2 linked regions of the Macaca fascicularis genome follow. The protein of the gene in region 1 binds, or shares a complex with, the protein of each later gene. Links are inferred from orthologs where the notes say so. Each region holds a gene or a part of one and is shown in the gene's direction. Other genes may lie near its edges. The genes, in order: FNIP1 and LAMTOR3.

Evidence for each region.
Region 2: FNIP1 (region 1) and LAMTOR3 share a complex: the UniProt entries of both Homo sapiens proteins name them as parts of the lysosomal folliculin complex. The link is inferred for Macaca fascicularis from reciprocal best matches to the Homo sapiens genes FNIP1 and LAMTOR3.

Annotation. Positions count from the first base shown.
Region 1 is NC_088380.1:138,207,660-138,211,474, reverse strand, and holds part of FNIP1 (folliculin-interacting protein 1), read left to right. Parts: intron 1-2,469; coding exon 2,470-3,815. UniProt on the Homo sapiens protein: Binding partner of the GTPase-activating protein FLCN: involved in the cellular response to amino acid availability by regulating the non-canonical mTORC1 signaling cascade controlling the MiT/TFE factors TFEB and TFE3.
Region 2 is NC_088379.1:105,533,769-105,538,232, reverse strand, and holds the start of LAMTOR3 (ragulator complex protein LAMTOR3), read left to right. Parts: upstream 1-1,663; 5' UTR 1,664-1,808; intron 1,809-2,086; 5' UTR 2,087-2,123; coding exon of another isoform or gene 2,124-2,132; intron 2,133-2,448; 5' UTR 2,449-2,465; coding exon 2,466-2,489; intron 2,490-4,078; coding exon 4,079-4,113; intron 4,114-4,464. UniProt on the Homo sapiens protein: As part of the Ragulator complex it is involved in amino acid sensing and activation of mTORC1, a signaling complex promoting cell growth in response to growth factors, energy levels, and amino acids.

The DNA of each region.
Region 1 (3,815 bases):
AAGGCTCTGTGCTATAAAGATGAATGATTTGGAAATTGCCCTCAAGAAGTCAACAGTCTAAGACTGTAGGTAATATATATGCAGACAACAATAATAATTCAAGGAGGAACTATAAGAGAAATGAAAAGTTTAGTAGGAGTTGAACAGGGGAGCCTACTTTTGCCCAAGTGAGGATGCTTAGGTGGGAAGCTATGGACTGGCAGAGATATTGAGGAAAGGGACAGGACATCACATGAGTAAAGAGTAGGTGTTAAAAGTGCAGAGCATATTCAGTGGTCCAGTTTAACTGGGTCTTTGCATGAATAAAGATGATTTCTTCTTCTGACTGCCAAGAAGGAGGATAAGTATAAGAAGATAAAGCTGGAAAAGTAAAATGGGAATCATGAAAGACTCACTTGCCATACCAAAGTAATTTCAACTTACTTGGTAATTCGTGGGAATCGTGGGAGTAATTTAGAACAGTGGCATGGTGATATTTGAGCCAGTGTGTTAGCCAGAGGAGAAAATTTATCATAATAATACCTATAGCATGTATTTATTTGAGACCTATTTATATTTGTTCCTTTAAAAAGTGTGAGGGCTTTGTAAAGTAAAAATAGAGGATTTTAAATGTATATACTAACAACTTGCAAAAATTAAATTAAGTTGAAATTAGTGGCTTTGTATTCTCCTTTTTCTTTTCTTTCTTTCTTGAGACAGGGTCTCACTGTATCGCACAGGCTAGAGTGCGGTGGTGCGATCACAGTTCACTGCAGCCTCAGCTTCCTGGGCTCAGGTGATTCTTCCACCTTTTCCTCTCAAGTAGCTGGGATTACAGGAGCAAGCCACCATGCCCAGCTAATTTTCTGTATTTTTTTGTAGAGACGAGAGTTTTGCCATGTTACCCAGACTGGTCTTAAACTGCTGGGTTCGAGTGATCAGCCTGCTTCCACCTCCCAAAATGCTGGGATTACCTGCATAAGCCACCATGCCCAGCCCTGTTCTCCATAGTTTTGGCACTGAAATTACTGGTTTAATTTGAAGTATAGCATAAATATAGAAATGATAATTTCTAGTCCTGACCCCCTCACTTCCCCTGCTTTTAACATAATCGCTAGTCATGTTTAGAATGGGTTCAAAAGTGAAAATGAATTGCATGGCTAAACTCGTTGCCCTTTCTTTTCCTTTTAGTAAGGATGAGTCTCTCTCTTCCTGCCCCTTCTGGCCTATCCTGTGTACCCAACCCTCTAGGGAATGGAAGGGGAAAATAGGCTCTTACTAACATGGGAGCTGGTGGGATGGGGTGCTGGCTAGGGGAACAACAGTTAAAGTTTAGAGATATGACTTACTTTTTAATTTTATTTCTTTGTTTCTTTTTTTTTTTTTTGAGACGGAGTTTCACTCTTGTCGCCCAGGCTGGATTGCAATGGTGTCATCTCAGCTCAGTGCACCCTCTGCCTCCTGGGTTCAAGCAATTCCCCAGCCTCAGCCTCCCGAGTAGGTGGGACTACAGGCATCCACCACAACACCTGGCTAATTTTTGTATTTTTAGTAAGTACAGGGTTTTACCATGTTGGCCAGGCTGGTCTTGAACTCCTGATATCAAGTGATCCACCCATCTCGGCCTCCCAGAGTGCTGGAATTACAAGCGTGAGCCACCGTGCCTGGCCCCAGAGATATGATTTAAATCAGGAATGATTAAGTGTGTGGTGTGACTACTCTAGCTTTGCTCCATTTTACCGCTACTCCTTTCCTGTCCTTGCAAGCCAGCAGATATTGTGCTTTGTCTTTTCTTGATTGGACACAGCTGCAGAGTCCTTGTGTACATAGTACTTCAGGCAGTACTTCTCTAACCAGGTAAAAATGCTCTTCATGGAGCCTGGGTTAAAGAATATTCTTGGGATATGTGAGTTTCAGAACTGACTCTTTGCTTGAGGTTTCTGAACCATAGCATTTGTTTAAAGAGGAAGCCTGAAAACCCTTAAATTCACCTTTCTTTCTGGTTAAGACTATTCATCTCATCTTCCTCCCTTGAATAGTCACTCATCTGTTAAAGAACTAAGAATGAGGCCAGGCATGTTGGCTCATGCCTGTAATCCCAGTACTGTGGGAGGCCAAGGCCAGTGGATTGCTTGAGCCCAGGAACTCAAGATCAGCCTAGGAAACATGGCAAAACTCTGTCTCTACAAAAAAAAATACAGATAATTAGCCAGGTGTGGTGGCACATACCTATAGTCCCAGCTACTCAGGAGGCTGAGGTAGGATAATTACTTGAGCCTAGGAGGCTGAGGCTGCAGTGAACCATGACTGTACCACTGTACTCCAGCCAGGATTACAGTGTGAGACCCTGTCTCAAAAAAAAAAAAAAAAAAAAAAAAGTAAAACCTAAACAACTACTCATACAGTAAGATTAGGTTTCTGATCATTAAAAATAGCTTACTTAGCTGTGTCAGTAAAGGATGTGTCCAATAACTGATTTTTCCATTACAGGAGACTTGTATGGCGCTATTGGCTCTCCTGTACGGTTAGCAAGGACTGTGGTAGTTGGCAAACGACAAGACATGGTCCAGAGGCTACTTTATTTTCTTACTTATTTTATAAGATGCTCTGAACTTCAAGAAACGCATCTTTTAGAAAATGGAGAAGATGAAGCCATCGTTATGCCAGGCACAGTAATTACTACCACTTTAGAGAAAGGTGAAATAGAAGAATCGGAGTATGTCCTTGTCACAATGCATAGAAACAAAAGCAGTTTGCTCTTTAAAGAGTCAGAAGAAATAAGAACTCCCAGTTGTAACTGTAAATATTGCAGTCATCCACTCCTTGGGCAAAATGTAGAGAACATTTCACAACAAGAGAGAGAAGATGCTCAAAACAGCTCTAAGGAGCTGCTAGGAATTTCAGATGAGTGCCGGATGATTTCTCCTTCTGACTGCCAAGAAGAAAATGCTGTTGATGTTAAACAGTACAGAGATAAATTAAGAACTTGCCTTGATGCCAAGTTAGAGACGGTTGTTTGCACAGGATCTGTTCCAGTAGACAAATGTGCATTGTCAGAGTCAGGCTTAGAGCCAACAGAGGAAACATGGCAGAGTGAGAAGTTGCTGGATTCAGACAGTCACACAGGCAAAGCAATGAGATCCACAGGAATGGTTGTGGAGAAAAAACCTCCAGATAAGATTGTGCCTGCTTCATTTTCTTGTGAGGCTGCCCAGACAAAGGTTACTTTCCTGATTGGGGATTCTATGTCACCTGATTCAGATACTGAGCTTCGAAGTCAGGCAGTGGTGGATCAGATTACCAGACATCACACCAAACCATTGAAGCCAGAAAGAGGGGCTGTTGATCAGCATCAAGAAACTAAACAAACAACTAAGGACCAATCTGGAGAGTCTGATATACAGAACATGGTTTCTGAAGAGCCCTGTGAACTTCCCTGTTGGAATCATTCAGACCCAGAAAGCATGAGCTTATTTGACGAATATTTTAATGATGATTCAATTGAAACCAGGACTATTGATGATGTTCCAATTAAAACAAGTGCAGATAGTAAAGACCATTGCTGTATGTTAGAGTTTTCAAAAATATTGTGTGCAAAAAATAACAAACAGAACAATGAATTTTGTAAATGTATAGAAACAGTTCCCCAAGATTCATGTAAAACCTGCTTTCCTCAGCAGGACCAAAGAGATACACTCTCCATTCTTGTCCCCCATGGGGATAAAGAGAGTTCAGATAAAAAAATTGCTGTAGGAACTGAATGGGACATTCCAAGAAATGAAAGTTCAGATAGTGCCCTTGGGGATAGTGAAAGTGAAGATACAGGTCATGATATG
Region 2 (4,464 bases), on another chromosome or scaffold:
AGAAAATAAATATCAAGTAAATAATTATAATTATGATAAATTCTACAAAGAAAATTACAGGGCACAATGAAAGCATTTATCTAGAAGGCCTAAACTATTCAGTGAGGGTCAGGAAAGGCTTCTCTGAGAGTGAGTTTAAGCTGAAATGCAAAAGAAGAGATTAGTAGGATTAAGGTATGCTAGAGAAATATCTCAGGCAGAATGTGCTAAGTTGGTAAAGTGATAAAAATCTTTATGGAAGTGGAAACAAACTTGTATGATCATAGCATAAGGAATCCAGGGTAGGTGAGAGAATCAATATAGGGGCCAGATCCCCATAAGAACGATATATAAACCATGATGCTGATATTGAACTTTATCCTAAGTCAATAAAGTTGATTTTCAAGAAAGGAGTTAAATGATCCGATTTGGGTTTTTAGAACATCATTTTTGTTGCTCTATGGAGACTGGAGGGCAAAAGAGAATGTAAGAAGAATAGGAGGTTATTGTCAAGAGAGAGATGATCATGGCTTGCACTAGGGTACGAACATAGATAGGTGACTAGTTTTCAAAGATAGGAGGTAGAATCAACAGAACTCTGATTAGATTTGTGACATGCAAGCAGCAATTAAAAACCAGGCTAAAATTTTCTGAAAATTTGGCTATGAAAGGGAGTAGAGGAAAAACAGGGTGGTAGCTGAAAGAGGATGTGATTTCTAAAGAAGCTTTTCTTTTGAGCATCTCGCTCTGTCACTCAAGCTGGAGTTCAGTGGGGCGATCACCACTCAATGCAGCCTCAAACCCTGGGCTGAAGGGATCCTCATGCCTCAGCTTCCGGAGTACCTGGCGCACGCCACGTAAGGCTAATTCTTTATTGTTGTTATTATTATTAGTAGTAGTAGTAGTAGTAGAGATGGGGTTCTATCTTGCCAGGCTGGTGTGGAACTCCTGGGCTCAAAGGATCGTCCCGCCTCGGACTCCCAAAGTGCTGGGATTACAGGCGTCAGTCACCGCACCCGGCAAGGCTTTTTTTTTTTTTTTTTTTTTTTTTTTCCAATTATTATTTATTATATGAGACCTTACTAATTTTTTAAAATTCTGATGTAAAAGGGAACATAGAAAGTACCCGTAATCCCGTGTCTGCATGTTAAAAGTAGACGCTTGAAGTGCTCCAGAAAACCCATGGCTCCTCCCCATTCAATCTAGATAAGGCCTTGAGTAAAGAGCACCCATGGGGAAGTCACAAGAACCTAGGAAACAAGTCAGAAACCTGTGGACCTGATACTTCCAATCACAGGCAATCTGTTGCTTGCTCTTCAGCTCATCACACCATCCCCTCAAATTTCTTCATCTACAAGAAAAGGTTTTAAGATAACGGACCCTGAAAAACTAATGACATTTATACACCCTCTCTGCACAAGAATGTCTTGTAACACATAACCTTGCTTGCATTTTCTGGGGTCCTCGGGGTCCAGCGATCTCGTACAAATCCTCTACCCCACAGCTGACGTCCCTCGGCCCGTGACACAAGGCGCAGGCGCAAGACGCGGCCCGCGGTGGGCGGGGGAGGGGCGGGGCGCGTCGGGCGGCCGCGCCCTCGAAGCTTCCGCCAGGCCCTTCCGGAAATCCAGTATCGTGGGGCGACGGCGTAGAAAGTGCTTCCCGGAGCGCCGAAGAGGTCATCAATCATGTGACGGTGGCTTGAGGAGGAACCTGTCTTTAAAGCTGTCCCTGAAGTGACAACGGAGAGAACCAGGCAACCCAGAAACCCCAGGTAACTGGCGCTACTTTGCCTGGTTTGAGGCCTAGTCCCGGAGGTGGCGCGGGTGGTGAGACTAAACAGAAGGAGAGGGCCCCCTCTTCTTTTCTTTGGGCCTAGCTCTTTGGGGTGGAGGGGCAGGGATGGGGTGGGCTGAGGCAAGGCGTGCCAGCTGAGTACCCGTGGGGGTGTTGGGGCACTCCGACTCCCACTGGGCTCGCTGGGCCAAGCCCTAGAACCGCGGGGGTTTTGCCGGGTTCTGACCAGGGCTGATCTTGCTTATTAAGTTGGGGGTGGGGAGGACGAGGAAGCCAAAGAGGTAAGAGTCACCGGGAGTTTCTCTTCCAGGCGTGGAGATTGATCCTGCGAGAGAAAGGGGTTCATCATGGCGGATGTGAGTGACACCCCCACATAAGAGGAAGGGAGAGTGGGGAATTTGGAGGGGAATACTGAGCGGGGAGAGGTAGAAGATCCTCCCATCCCCACCCATCCCAGTTAATTATTTTCTCTTGTATGTGAAATGGGAGACTAATATGAATGAATTTGCAGGATCCTGAGTTTCTGCCTCGAATGGGGGTGGAGGACACTAAGGTGCTTGAGACTGAGAAAATTATATTCTCCCTACTCACCAATCCAGCTGGGGTATAAGAGAGGCTCTGTGTATTTACCATTTGAAATTCTGAATGATGGTTCGCTGCTTTTCCTGTCAGAATTTGGTCAGTAGGACATGTACCCAGAATACTTTTTTCCAGTAAGTGGTAACAATATCTTATTAGGTTTATTGTGGCAATTTACGATGATTTCTAACCCATGCCTCTTTAGAAACATAACATGAAATAAAATGAGGGGTGTGTGTGTGTGTGTGTGTGTGTGTGTAGGATGAGAGCAAAAATAAGCCAATAGTCATAACATGAAATAAAATGATCATTCGGGTTTGGAGAATAGTAAGTGTTGGAGGCTCAAAACAACAGATATCTGATTAATCCATGCGAGGTCAAAATTGATACCTCAAGTGTCAGTGAAATTCCTGGGATGAGAGAGTGTAATGAGACAAAATAAGATAATCTTCTGGCCGGTGAGGTGGCTTCGTCTGTAATCTCAGCATTTTGGGATGCCGAGATGGAAGGATCACTTGAGGCTGGGAGTTCAAGATCAGCCTGGGCAACGTAGCAAGACCCCGTTATACAAAAAGAAATTTAAAAACCAGGCGCATTGATAACCCTGTAGTCCCAGCTATGCTGGAAGTGAGGCGGAAGGATTGCTTGAGCCCAGAACTTGGAAGTTGCAGTGAGCCCCAGCTTAGAAAAATAAAATAGTCTTATATTTCTTTAGTCTTAACTGTGTTTAGTGTTAAACACTTGACACACTTCGCCATTTATCTTATATTCTGTAAGTCTGGGCTGGGCGTGGTGGCTCACGTCTGTAATCCCAGCACTTTGGGAAGCCAAGGCGGGTGGATCACCTGAGGTCAGGAGTTCGAGACCAGCCTGGCCTACATGGTGAAACCATATCTCTACTAAAAATACAAAAAATAAGCTGGGACGTGGTGGTGGGTGCTTATAATGCCAGTTACTCGGAGGTTGAGGCAGGAGAATCGCTTGAACCTGGGAAGCAGAGGTTGCAGTGAGCCGAGATTGCGCCATTGCACTCCAGCCTGGACAGCAAGAGCAAAACTCCCTCTCAAAAACAAAAAAAAAGACTGTTGCCTCACATAGTCATATATAATTTATTTTAGGTCCTTAAACAGAATATTTTAATAATTATGTTATAATAATATGCCTTACACTGTTTCATTATTTGTTGAGTAGGTGAGTTCAACAAATAATGAAACAATGGAAGGCATATTTTTATAATGTGAGACAACAGTCTTACAGAAGTCATATCACCTTACCCAAGACCATTAAAATGATGGTGGAAAGTCTATCTTTGAACCTGGAAAGGTGTTTATAATGTCTTCTCAAGTGAACACAATAGCAACAGGATATAAAACACTAGTATGAAAATTATGATATATTTTTATGGCTAAAATGTATTTGTGTTTCCCATTTCTAGGTATGCTAATCCATGCAACTTCTCAAAAAACTTTAACAGCACTCTTATGATGTAGGTTCTATATTAGCCCTATTCAACAAATAATGAAATAGGCTTAGGGAAAAAAGGTTAGTTAACTTACTCCAAGTTGCATGACTAGTAAACATCCAAATCAGACAGAGAAAGATAAAACACAGCAAGAAAGGTTATGAATGATAACTGAACGTCCCTAAAATTTGGATAGGACAGGATCTAGAAAACAGTGGAAGGCCTATTATTATAACATGATTTTTTAATATTCTCTTTCAGGACCTAAAGCGATTCTTGTATAAAAAGTTACCAAGGTAAGAAATTTTTAATTTGTTACTGAATAAATTCTATATGCCATATGTTAATTTTATGAAGTATTTTGTCTGTGTATTTTCAATGTTTTGAAGTATCTCTGAGATTTCCTTTAATATGAATATTTTTTGCCAGCATCATGTCCTCTGGAAAATTTTCGTCACAACCGCTTTCCTCATTTATGTCAATAAGTTTGCCTTCACTGAGTTCTCTGTGTATCTAGAGGGATAGTGTCAGCATTCCCTTGGTCACCTGTTTCTTCTATAACTCTTTATTTGAAATTCACTTCCAGCATTATTACTTTTCATTTCTTTGCTGTATTTCATCTTTGTCGGCCAGTTTCCTCTTTTTAT